3 linked regions of the Pelodiscus sinensis genome follow. The protein of the gene in region 1 purifies or fractionates together with the protein of each later gene. This does not show direct contact. Links are inferred from orthologs where the notes say so. Each region holds a gene or a part of one and is shown in the gene's direction. Other genes may lie near its edges. The genes, in order: POLR3H, POLR3G and POLR3GL.

Evidence for each region.
Region 2: the proteins of POLR3H (region 1) and POLR3G purify together in Homo sapiens (affinity purification with mass spectrometry; 5 studies listed by BioGRID and IntAct, with this or other methods). This does not show direct contact. The link is inferred for Pelodiscus sinensis from reciprocal best matches to the Homo sapiens genes POLR3H and POLR3G.
Region 3: the proteins of POLR3H (region 1) and POLR3GL purify together in Homo sapiens (co-immunoprecipitation; 4 studies listed by BioGRID and IntAct, counting the BioPlex papers as one, with this or other methods). This does not show direct contact. The link is inferred for Pelodiscus sinensis from reciprocal best matches to the Homo sapiens genes POLR3H and POLR3GL.

What each region holds. Positions count from the first base shown.
Region 1 is NC_134711.1:89,046,575-89,050,322, forward strand, and holds the start of POLR3H (DNA-directed RNA polymerase III subunit RPC8), read left to right. Parts: upstream 1-1,369; 5' UTR 1,370-1,621; exon of another isoform or gene 1,622-1,669; intron 1,670-3,748.
Region 2 is NC_134716.1:74,581,356-74,585,103, reverse strand, and holds the start of POLR3G (DNA-directed RNA polymerase III subunit RPC7), read left to right. Parts: upstream 1-1,439; 5' UTR 1,440-1,730; exon of another isoform or gene 1,731-1,822; 5' UTR 1,823-1,831; coding exon 1,832-1,951; intron 1,952-2,785; coding exon 2,786-2,915; intron 2,916-3,748. Other genes in the region: acyl-coenzyme A thioesterase MBLAC2, read right to left, coding at 948-1,422. UniProt on the Homo sapiens protein: DNA-dependent RNA polymerase catalyzes the transcription of DNA into RNA using the four ribonucleoside triphosphates as substrates.
Region 3 is NC_134734.1:19,893,836-19,897,583, forward strand, and holds the start of POLR3GL (DNA-directed RNA polymerase III subunit RPC7-like), read left to right. Parts: upstream 1-1,177; 5' UTR 1,178-1,268; intron 1,269-3,748. UniProt on the Homo sapiens protein: DNA-dependent RNA polymerase catalyzes the transcription of DNA into RNA using the four ribonucleoside triphosphates as substrates. Specific peripheric component of RNA polymerase III which synthesizes small RNAs, such as 5S rRNA and tRNAs.

The sequences.
Region 1 (3,748 bases):
AAACTGAATTTATTAGCAAAATAAATCACACAAAAGAACACTGCACTGGTTATAGGCATGGAATAAGCACACTGGGCTCAGCACACTGGGCATCACGTTACTGACCTTGCTCATTATGTACCCAACCTTCCCCCCAACGCAAACTTCTGCCTGGATTAAAGTGTTGGAGAACACTTTAATCCATTAACACTCATTAATGGATCTCCAAGTCACCGTATTGTTTCAGACCAATTCCACAAGCCAAATACAGGGAAGGATTGGAACTTAACTTCATTTACAAGTTTAATTCTTATGCAAATGGATGAACAGGGACATCAGCTGGCTGGCACACTACCTTCCACATCTGAATGACTTAACCAACCAACCCAACAATGGAGGTGCTAATTGTTCTTATCAGCCTCTTGAAATTATTTGAACCATCTACTCCAGTGGTCCCCAAGGGTGCCTGTGGTTACCATGGCACCCGCCAGGGCATTTATGTGCGCCCACCTAATGACCGGGGCTGGCCCGAGCCATTCTTGCGTACCGGGCCCCGGGCGCATGCGCGGCCCCAAAAGGTTGGGGACCACTGATCTACTCACTATCTCTCTTTTTTCTTTACCCAGCCTTTTGTCTTTTTTCCCCCCCTCTTCCCTTATTTATTCTTGGATCTGGACTTTTAACACTCCAGTCATCTGAAGAAGTGGGTTGCGCCCACAGAAGCTCATGATACCATCTACACGTTTTGTTAGTCTTTAAAGTCTACCAGAGTATTTGTTGTTTGTAAGTGTATTGTACATGTTTTGTTCGTCTTTTAGGTGGTACTAACTACTCTATGTGTTGTTTTTTTAAAGTTTTTCCGGTTACAGACTAACTGGGCTACCCCTCTGACGCGTTTGTATATTGCTTGTCTTTGGGAACTGCATCTAACTAGCACCAGGGGACCCTGTTGCTCCTACAATTACTGTCTCACAGCTGCCTAAGCCCAGCCTCCATTGTGTCCGTTTATTTCAATGGTAAATATTTCTTCACCCCCCCCCCCCCCCCGCAAAAAAATTACTGAGCTAGAGGGGCCTGTAATTTGTTTTCCTGTGGCCTAGCGAGGTCCCCTCCCCGTGGCTGGGTCAGCCACAGCCCTGGCGTGGCTCCCCGCGCGCTGCCCTGCCACACCCCCCCGGCGGGTGACACGTGGGGGCGGCAGCTGCTCTGTTGACAGTGCAACGCGGGCGGAGACAGCCTGGCTGCCGGGGCCGACCCCGCCCGAGACACTTCTCGCCCCGCCCCGCACGCACGTTTCCGGCTCCCCCAGCCGGCACCAGCGCGGAGGGAGGGGGCGGGGCTAGCTCGTGGCGTGGCTGCCCCAGCCTGGCGCCCGCGAGACTGGGAGGCGGGGGACGAACGTGCTGGGTCCAGGGGCAAAAGGACGCAACCTCGCGCCAGCTCCACCACGGAGCTAGGCCCGGCTCGGGGCACCCCTTGGTCATCTGCTAAACTCCATGTGTCAATCAGCCCATTCGGCCCGCCCCTGAAAGGCGATTGGCCCACGCACCGGAAGTCACCTGGCTAGTAGCTGGGAGGCAGCCGCGGCGTGCGGGACTATCTGCTGCCGGGGCTGGGCGCTGCTTATTGGCACGTGGGACAGGTCGGTGCGGGGGATGTCAAAGAGGCAGGCTGCTTGGGGAGAAACCAGGTTGGTCGTCCGGCAACTGCCGGTGTATCCCGCCATGCATTGCGGCATCATAGAGTCCAGTCTCGCTGGAGGGCCGCCCGCGGGTTCCTTAGTAACCCTGGAACGGGGGGAGGGGGGGGGAATGGATGTTCATGCTGGGTCACGTGACTGGGGGGAGCTCGGGTCCGCGCGCTCTGACTCCGGGCCGTTAACGCCGTTGCGCTGCACGAGCCCAGCTGTCCCGGCGACCCTGCCCGGCGAGGCTGAGGCTGGTAGCGGGGCCCGGTCGTAGCGGCTTCCCCGCTGCGGGGCATCGCCAGGGCTCGCCCTGCCCAGCGACCCCTCCAGTGCAGCTGGGGAGTGTTCCCCGCTTGTGCCACGTGCCCGGGGCTGAAGTGAAACCCTCAGGCTATTACACTGGCCTGTGCTTTTGCCAAGAGCATCCGTGCCAGTGTAGATGCTCTCTTGCGCAAGAAAGCTCTGATGGCCATTTTAGCCATTGGGCTTTCCTGTGCAAGTAATTCATGTTGCCTGTCTACACTGGCCTCTTGCACAAGAACAGTTGCACAAGAGGGCTTATCCCTGAGCGGGCGCGAGAAGCCCTGATTTCACACATTAGAGCGTCAGTGTACGTGCGCAAGAACTCCCCGCCAGTGTAGATAGGCAGCAAGTTTTGGCGCAAAAGCAATTGCTTTTGCGCAAGATTATGCCAATGTAGACACAACCTCAGAGTGACGGGCTCAGTGCCCTCTTCACCCATGGGTCTGACTCAAAAACTTGTGCCAGGCTGCACTGGCAGCGACCCCTTATTCTTGCCATGTTCCATATTTCTCAAGGTGCCACGTGCCTGGGGAAATAATTTAAAAAGTCCCTAATAAGGGGAAAACAAGGTTTTTGCTATTCCACTTAAAGGTGAGTGGGGTGTGGAAGGGCGTGAAAAAGAGGCAGATGCCTCAAGACTTGGCAATTTAAAGGGGCCCAGGGCTTCTGTCCACTGGCATTGCTACCTCCGAAGCAGTCAGATCTCTGAGCCCTTTAAATTGCTGCTAGGGCCCTGGAGGTACACACCTTTTTCTCTTTGAAGTCTGTTCTTGAAGTTTTTTTGTTGCAGGATGGCTACCTTTAAATCTGCTACTCTGTGTCCAGGGAGATTGAAGTGTTCTCCTACAGGTTCATTCATCTGCACATCTACCAATGTAATATATGCCATCATGTTTCAGCAATACCCCTCTGCTATATACATCGGCCAAACTGGACAGTCCCTATGTAAAAGAATAAATGGACACAAATCAGATATCAGGAATGGCAATGTACAAAAACCTGTAGGAGAACACGTCAATCTCCCTGGACACACAGTAGCAGATTTAAAGGTAGCCATCCTGCAACAAAAAAAACTTCAAGAACAGACTTCAAAGAGAAACTGCTGAGCTACAGTTCATTTGCAAATTTGACACCATCGTTTTAGGATTAAACAAAGACTGAATGGCTAGCCAACTACAAAAGCAGTTTCTCCTCTCATGGTGTTCATACCTCCACATCAGCTGCTAGGAGTGGGCCTCATCCTCCCTGACTGAATTGACCTCGTTATCTCTTGTCTTACTCTTGATTGGAACTCTTTTCTTATGCCTGTATATTTATACCTGCCTCTGGAATTTCCACTACATGCATCTGACAAAGTGGGTCTTTGCCCATGAAAGCTTATGCTCCAATAAATCTGTTAGTCTATAAGGTGCCACAGGACTCCTCATCGCTTTTTCAGATTCAGACTAACACGGCTACCCCTCTGATAGATGAGCTAAGAACCACCCAACCAACCCCCCTTCTAATCATGCTCTCTCAGGAGATCTTCCTTTCAAAGCCAGCAGAGGGCATAATTCCTCTCTAACACTTGGTCTTGTCTTATGGATATATCCTCAGCATTGAAGATGAGCTCTTTCTGAGCTGTCATGTTATTTGTATTAGTATTGTGCTTAGGAGCCCTGTTGCTAGGCACTGCACTGTGAAGAAAAGATGTTGCTTGACCGGAAGAGCCCATGACTATATAGGATTGAGCTGGAGACTTGAATGGAAAAACAGAAAGTTATTAGTTGGGGTTCACTG
Region 2 (3,748 bases), on another chromosome or scaffold:
TAACAGATTTATTGGAGCATAAGCTTTCATGGGAGAAAGCTTATGCGGCCAATAAATCTGTTAATTTATACGATGCTACAGGACTCCTCATTGCTTTTGCATATTCAGACTAACCCAGCTACCCCCCTGATACTTACCACCAAAATCAAAATTCTTTCAGACTTATAGTGTTAGTAGTATTAAGTAAGATCTTTGGACAGGCATAGAAAGCCAACAAACCCAAAGCAACAACAACAAAAAATTCAAGCCTTTTAGCTGAATCCTGAAATACACTGATGTACATGCACTATAAACATACATCCTGATCACTTATTATAAATTAACTGATTACTATATGTGGTACAAACATAGATCACAAATGTGGAATGTAGCATAACAGATCCAGTGAGGATACCCCTTTACATAAAAATTGTTTTAGATTCAAGTACAATATACTAACACTATAAAAGTGATATATATATATTTAGATACAAATAAACATGACGCAGTGTATATAAACCGATGTTCAGTCTAGAAGCATTTTGCACAACCCAAAGTTAAAGATGCAGATCTGAAACATGCACATCTATGGACACGCACTGATTAGACACAAACGCAGCATATGCACTCCTTCCCACAGACGGTAAGGCAGACATACCCCGATGTACTGTCACACCCAGTACCCCCCTCAAGTACTGTACAGATCCAACTCGCAGTGATGCACCTACATACTGTTGTCTGACAGAGACGCACAACTCACCCCAGCCCCACTTGACTTACACACAGACACGTAGCAGCTAGTGACCTAAGTGTAAGCACAGGCACGTATACACATGCCCAACTCACCCGCCTTATATGCCTCCCCACCCCCAATAGGGCAGGTGCCCTATGGAGTGTCTGTGCAGCTTTGCCCTCCCGCCATGAACATACCCCGCTCCCCACCCCAGCGCTGACCGCCCGCCCCTTACCCTCCTGCAGGACGTGGGTGGGCTGCACGGGCTGCACTCGGAACTGCCGGGCGCTCCAGCCGGGGCTGGGCGGCCGCACCACCTCGCTGTCCGACAGCCAGGTGACGGTCTCGTAGTTGTCCCCGCGCAGCAGCGCGCCCGCCTCGGCGCTGTGCACCGCCACCTCGTCGAACTGGTGCAGCCCGCCCGCGTGGTCGAAGTGCACATGGGTGGCCACGGCCAGCAGCGGCCTCCTGCCCCCTCCCGCCGCTGCCTCCTCCGCCTCCCCGGGCCCGGCGCCCGGCCCCAGCAGCCCGGCCGAGTGCAGGTAGTCGGGCAGGCTGCGTAGCCCCAGGCCGGTGTCGATCACTACGTCGCGCTGCGAACCCCGCACCAGCCAGATGTTGGCTCGGTTGCCGGACTCGTAGAACCGCTCCTGGATCCAGTAGATGCCGCCGCCCAGGGGCTTATGCGCGTACCACTCCAGCGCCGACATGCCGGGCCGCTGCGAGCCCAGCACTGCGAAGCCACCGCCCCCAGGAGGAGCCTGCGCGGCGCCCCACCCCACTGCGGGCTGCGGCAGCGTCGCCGGGGGTGGAGCTGGCTGACACGTGTTCCCATCTTTTAAAATTGTGCCTGGAACTGAGCGCCCAGCCCCACAGAACTAAATTCCCACAGTCTCAGTTTTAAAACGCCTTCATGTTTGATTAATAGCTAAAAATGGAGTCTGGAGTCCCATTTGATTTCTAGACAGACCCACATTTTTTCCAAGCTGGAGATCATCATTGGTATGACACTTGCAATGTAAAAATACCTTTTCTCAGTCTTTGACTTTTTTCCATCTTACTTTTGGCTTTATTTTTTGTGATGCAACTAGAATCTAATAATATTTTCAGTAATTCCAAATGGCTGGGTCAGGAAAAGGAAGAGGACGTGCTGCATTTACTTTCAACATCGAGGCTATTGGCTTTTCCAAAGGTGAAACGCTACCTGAAGTAGCATTCAAGCCCCCTCCGTTGTTTCCTGTAAGTAAAGAGAACAAGCTTCATTTTAAGAACAAGTTGCATGTCTGAACAAAGTGTTTCATGTTCATATTTAGGTAATGAACCGTTAAATGGATGGAAAAAATCTAATAAATCAGTTTTGAAAGTAGCTAATCCACGTCTCTGTGTGTTCCCAGAGATAGAAATCTCAACAGCAGAGAGAGACCGTTTATAAGAATTGAGGTGTTTACACTGTGTTGTCTTGGAGCTGCACTGTGAGAGCTTTACAGATCCCATGTTCTCTAGTTTAGACAAGGCCACAGTGGGATGATTTTTTTTTTGAGACCTGTTAAATTGTATTGCTGTCCAGGAGATAACTAACATGATTAAAATATTGGTCAGATTAATTATGTTTAGCATAGATTGAACCATATTTTGGGAAGTGGTGTTGTTGAAATTGCTCTCACTGAAGTTAGCAGCAGTAAGGGCTTCAGAGCAAGTCAGCTAGCCTGAGACATTTGAAAGGGGGGGCGGGTGGAGTGAATGGTGATGTGCACCTTCACTGACCTAAAGTCAATTGAATTAGAATGTTATGTTTTTATGTTAAAAATGTTTTAGATATTTCTTGTTTTATTCCTTTCCTAATAGAGGTTTTCATGATGGATATATTAAAAAGAAAGAAATCCTTTTTACAATTTAATTGAAAAATATGCATTATAAAGTTCTGAACATATTGTCAGAATGCAGTGAAACATATTTGCAAACTAGTATAATACATAATTGAACTCCTCCATAAGTAGAGGCATTTTTTCTGTAGTTTTATGTGTTGCTGTATGTGATGGATATTAATGCAATTATGTACCTTAATTTACACAGTCAACAGGTTTTAAGCCAGTGCCTCTGAAAATGGGAGAAGAAGAAGATTATATGTTGGCCTTGAAGCAAGAATTTAGAGGAAGTATGAAAAATACGCCTTATTTTATGCCAAGCAAAGATGAAAAACAAGGTTTGTTCTGCATAAATGTAAATCAGCAAAATGTATTTGTGTATGGAAACTGTAATAATTAGTCTTTATGTTCAAGCTGTAGTACTGACACTAAATAGGGACAATGACAACTTGAAAGTTACATTTTACTAAGAAACTTCTGCAGCTAGGAGAGTTACAAGTAATGTCTAAATTTGCTGTAACTAAAAAATAAACACCAGTCTCGGAGTGTAGCTATGTTAGGCTACGTCTACACTGGCCCCATAAAACGGAATAGTCATGCAAAGCAGGTAAGTCAGAATAGGGAAATCCGCGGGGGATTTAAATATCCCCCGCGGGATTTAAATAAACATGTCCGCCGCTTTTTTTCTGGCTTGGGGAAAAGCCGGAAAAAAGTGTCTAGACTGGCGCGATCCTCCGGAATAAGGAGGAAATAAGAGATCCTCCGGAAAAGGGCTTTATTCCGGAGGATCTCTTATTTCCTCCTTATTCCGGAGGATCGCGCCAGTCTAGACACTTTTTTCCGGCTTTTCCCCAAGCCAGAAAAAAAGCGGCGGACATGTTTATTTAAATCCCGCGGGGGATATTTAAATCCCCCGCAGATTTCCCTATTCTGACTTACCTGCTTTGCATGACTTTTCCGGAATTAGGGGCCAGTCTAGACGTAGCCTTTAGTGTATAACTTTAAAAACTAGTAGGCCTGTGGCACCTTAGAGACTAGGGTTAAAATTAGATTAATCAACTAATTGAATAATCGATGGAATTTCCATCAACTATTTGATTAGTCGATAAGGGCTCTTCTGCTTTGAAATGTAGCAAGAGCCCACCCAGCTATTGATATATTTCAAGGGTGT
Region 3 (3,748 bases), on another chromosome or scaffold:
ACTGGATCATAGCCAGGAGGCACGTTGGGGCCACAATGCCAGTGGCAGGGTCCTGACTGGAGCTTGATGGTCCCAACCGATTGGATGGTGGGCTAGTTGGGGGGTGGGGTAGCCCTTTTCCTGCTATCGCAGGTCCCTGGCCTGCATGGCTTCATTGAGTGCCTGGACGGCGCTAAATAGGCAACTGCACAGCCGCAGCTCACAGGGATCTTAGCTCATGACGTGTAAGTTATTTGCCCCAGTGGAAGAGGCCGTAGCTCCCTTTGCTCTCATGCCCTTTGGTTTCAGGTAGGAGGCCCTCTGCCTTGGGGAACGGGCGAGCTCAGCTCTGGCTCTGGCCAGGAGAACTGGGGCCCAGTTGGGAATCAAGGCTCTGTGCATGAAGCTCAGCTGCGAGCAGGACTCCCTGTGAGCTGTGTGCTGGGTCGGCCACCCAGGAGGGATTCAGATGCCGCCCCGCTGATTAGCAGAGCACCTACAGCCGGCAGCAGGTGTTTCTCTGGGTGGTGCACATCTGCACATGCCTCGGAGCACAGAACAAAATGTATCCTGCACATGGATGGAAAACATTAGAAGGCACATTGGCTGTTAGGGTGAAAAGTACGGCAGGAGAAGAAACTGAGAGACGGCTCCAGGTCACACCAGGCTATAGCATCGGCCACCACAGGGAAGCCCTGTTCTAGAGGCCCAGCCAGCTGGGGGAGGTCTCGCAAGGACAGCGGTAACTTCACTAGCCCGCCAATAGGAAATCAGAGTGTTTCCCCCTTTGTGGCACTCCCAGCCCAGCACAGGGCAGGTCCCTTGGCTACCCTAACCCCAACACACGCGCTCAGCAGGAGTGTGTGAGCCTATGGTCTCCCCTCCCCCAGGGGGTTACAGCGCCCTGGCTGGCGGGGCAGAAAGAGAGCTGGGGGCTTGAAGACCCTCCTGGACTGTGCAGGGAACGCTGCACCTCCCCCCCCCCCCCCCGCCCCAGCTTCTCTCTCTCTCTGTCTATTTCTTCCACCCGCCCATCCATCCATCTTCCTGTCTCTCTCCCGCTCATCCTTATTTCGTTCTCTCGTCTCCCCCCCCCACCCGAAAAAAACCCCTCTGGCTCCGCCCCTTAGCTTACGTCCTTTGATTGTCCGCCGTGCACACCAATGAGCGGCGAGCAGCCGGCCTTGGGCCCCGCCCCTTCGGAACGTTGTGTATCCGTTTAGCTTCCGGGCGGAAAGAACCCACGTGGAGTCGGAGAGGGAGGCTCCAGCCCGAGTGGCGCGACCCGGGTAAAGCGCTGATTCGGTTCGGTCCGGTGCGCGGCGGCCCAATGGGAGGCGGGGAAGGGCGCCCCGCCCATACGAATCCTTCCCCGGGGCCCGGGTGGATAATCAGAGGCACCGAGCCCTGGCCCTGCTCCGGTGCGCCCGGGCCCTGCTGCGGATCCCGGGTCCCCGCTGCAGCTCCTGTCCTGTGCGTTGTGCAGCCGGGGCGGGGCCCTGCGCCCTCTGCCCGCTGTGGATCGTGGGCAAAGGGCCCTGCATTGTGTAGCCAGGGCCTGGTTGTGGGCTCTGGGCGCGGCTCTGTGCACTGTGGGGCCAGGACCGTACACCCTCAGCTCTGAGCCGTGCACTGTGGGGCCAGGACCGTACACCCTCAGCTCTGAGCCGTGCACTGTGGGGCCAGGACCGTACACCCCCAGCTCTGAGCCGTGCACTGTGGGGCCAGGACCGTACACCCTCAGCTCTGAGCCGTGCACTGTGGGGCCAGGACCGTACACCCTCAGCTCTGACCTGTGCACTGTGGGGCCAGGACCGTACACCCTCAGCTCTGACCTGTGCACTGTGGGGCCAGGACCGTACACCCTCAGCTCTGAGCCGTGCACTGTGGGGCCAGGACCGTGCACCCTCAGCTCTGAGCCGTGCACTGTGGGGCCAGGACCGTACACCCTCAGCTCTGAGCCGTGCACTGTGGGGCCAGGACCGTACACCCTCAGCTCTGAGCCGTGCACTGTGGGGCCAGGACCGTACACCCTCAGCTCTGAGCTGTGCACTGTGGGGCCAGGACCGTACACCCTCAGCTCTGAGCTGTGCACTGTGGGGCCAGGACCGTACACCCTCAGCTCTGACCTGTGCACTGTGGGGCCAGGACCGTACACCCTCAGCTCTGAGCCGTGCACTGTGGGGCCAGGACCGTACACCCTCAGCTCTGAGCCGTGCACTGTGGGGCCAGGACCGTACACCCCCAGCTCTGAGCCGTGCACTGTGGGGCCAGGACCGTACACCCTCAGCTCTGAGCCGTGCACTGTGGGGCCAGGACCGTACACCCTCAGCTCTGACCTGTGCACTGTGGGGCCAGGACCGTACACCCTCAGCTCTGACCTGTGCACTGTGGGGCCAGGACCGTACACCCTCAGCTCTGAGCCGTGCACTGTGGGGCCAGGACCGTGCACCCTCAGCTCTGAGCCGTGCACTGTGGGGCCAGGACCGTGCACCCTCAGCTCTGAGCCGTGCACTGTGGGGCCAGGACCGTACACCCTCAGCTCTGAGCCGTGCACTGTGGGGCCAGGACCGTACACCCTCAGCTCTGAGCTGTGCACTGTGGGGCCAGGACCGTACACCCTCAGCTCTGAGCTGTGCACTGTGGGGCCAGGACCGTACACCCTCAGCGCTGACCTGTGCACTGTGGGGCCAGGACCGTACACCCTCAGCTCTGAGCTGTGCACTGTGGGGCCAGGACCGTACACCCTCAGCTCTGAGCCGTGCACTGTGGGGCCAGGACCGTGCACCCTCAGCTCTGAGCCGTGCACTGTGGGGCCAGGACCGTACACCCTCAGCTCTGAGCCGTGCACTGTGGGGCCAGGACCGTGCACCCTCAGCTCTGAGCCGTGCACTGTGGGGCCAGGACCGTACACCCTCAGCTCTGACCTGTGCACTGTGGGGCCAGGACCGTACACCCTCAGCTCTGAGCCGTGCACTGTGGGGCCAGGACCGTACACCCTCAGCGCTGACCTGTGCACTGTGGGGCCAGGACCGTACACCCTCAGCTCTGAGCCGTGCACTGTGGGGCCGGGACCGTACACCCTCAGCTCTGAGCTGTGCACTGTGGGGCCAGGACTGTACACCCTCAGCTCTGAGCCGTGCACTGTGGGGCCAGGACTGTACACCCTCAGCTCTGACCTGTGCACTGTGGGGCCAGGACCGTACACCCTCAGCTCTGACCTGTGCACTGTGGGGCCAGGACCGTACACCCTCAGCTCTGAGCTGTGCACTGTGGGGCCAGGACTGTACACCCTCAGCTCTGAGCCGTGCACTGTGGGGCCAGGACCGTACACCCTCAGCTCTGAGCTGTGCACTGTGGGGCCAGGACTGTACACCCCCAGCTCTGAGCTGTGCACTGTGGGGCCAGGACTGTACACCCTCAGCTCTGAGCCGTGCACTGTGGGGCCAGGACCGTACACCCTCAGCTCTGAGCTGTGCACTGTGGGGCCAGGACTGTACACCCTCAGCTCTGAGCTGTGCACTGTGGGGCCAGGACCGTACACCCCCAGCTCTGAGCTGTGCACTGTGGGGCCAGGACTGTACACCCTCAGCTCTGAGCTGTGCACTGTGGGGCCAGGACCGTACACCCTCAGCTCTGAGCCGTGCACTGTGGGGCCAGGACCGTACACCCCCAGCTCTGAGCTGTGCACTGTGGGGCCAGGACCGTACACCCTCAGCGCTGACCTGTGCACTGTGGGGCCAGGACTGTACACCCTCAGCTCTGAGCC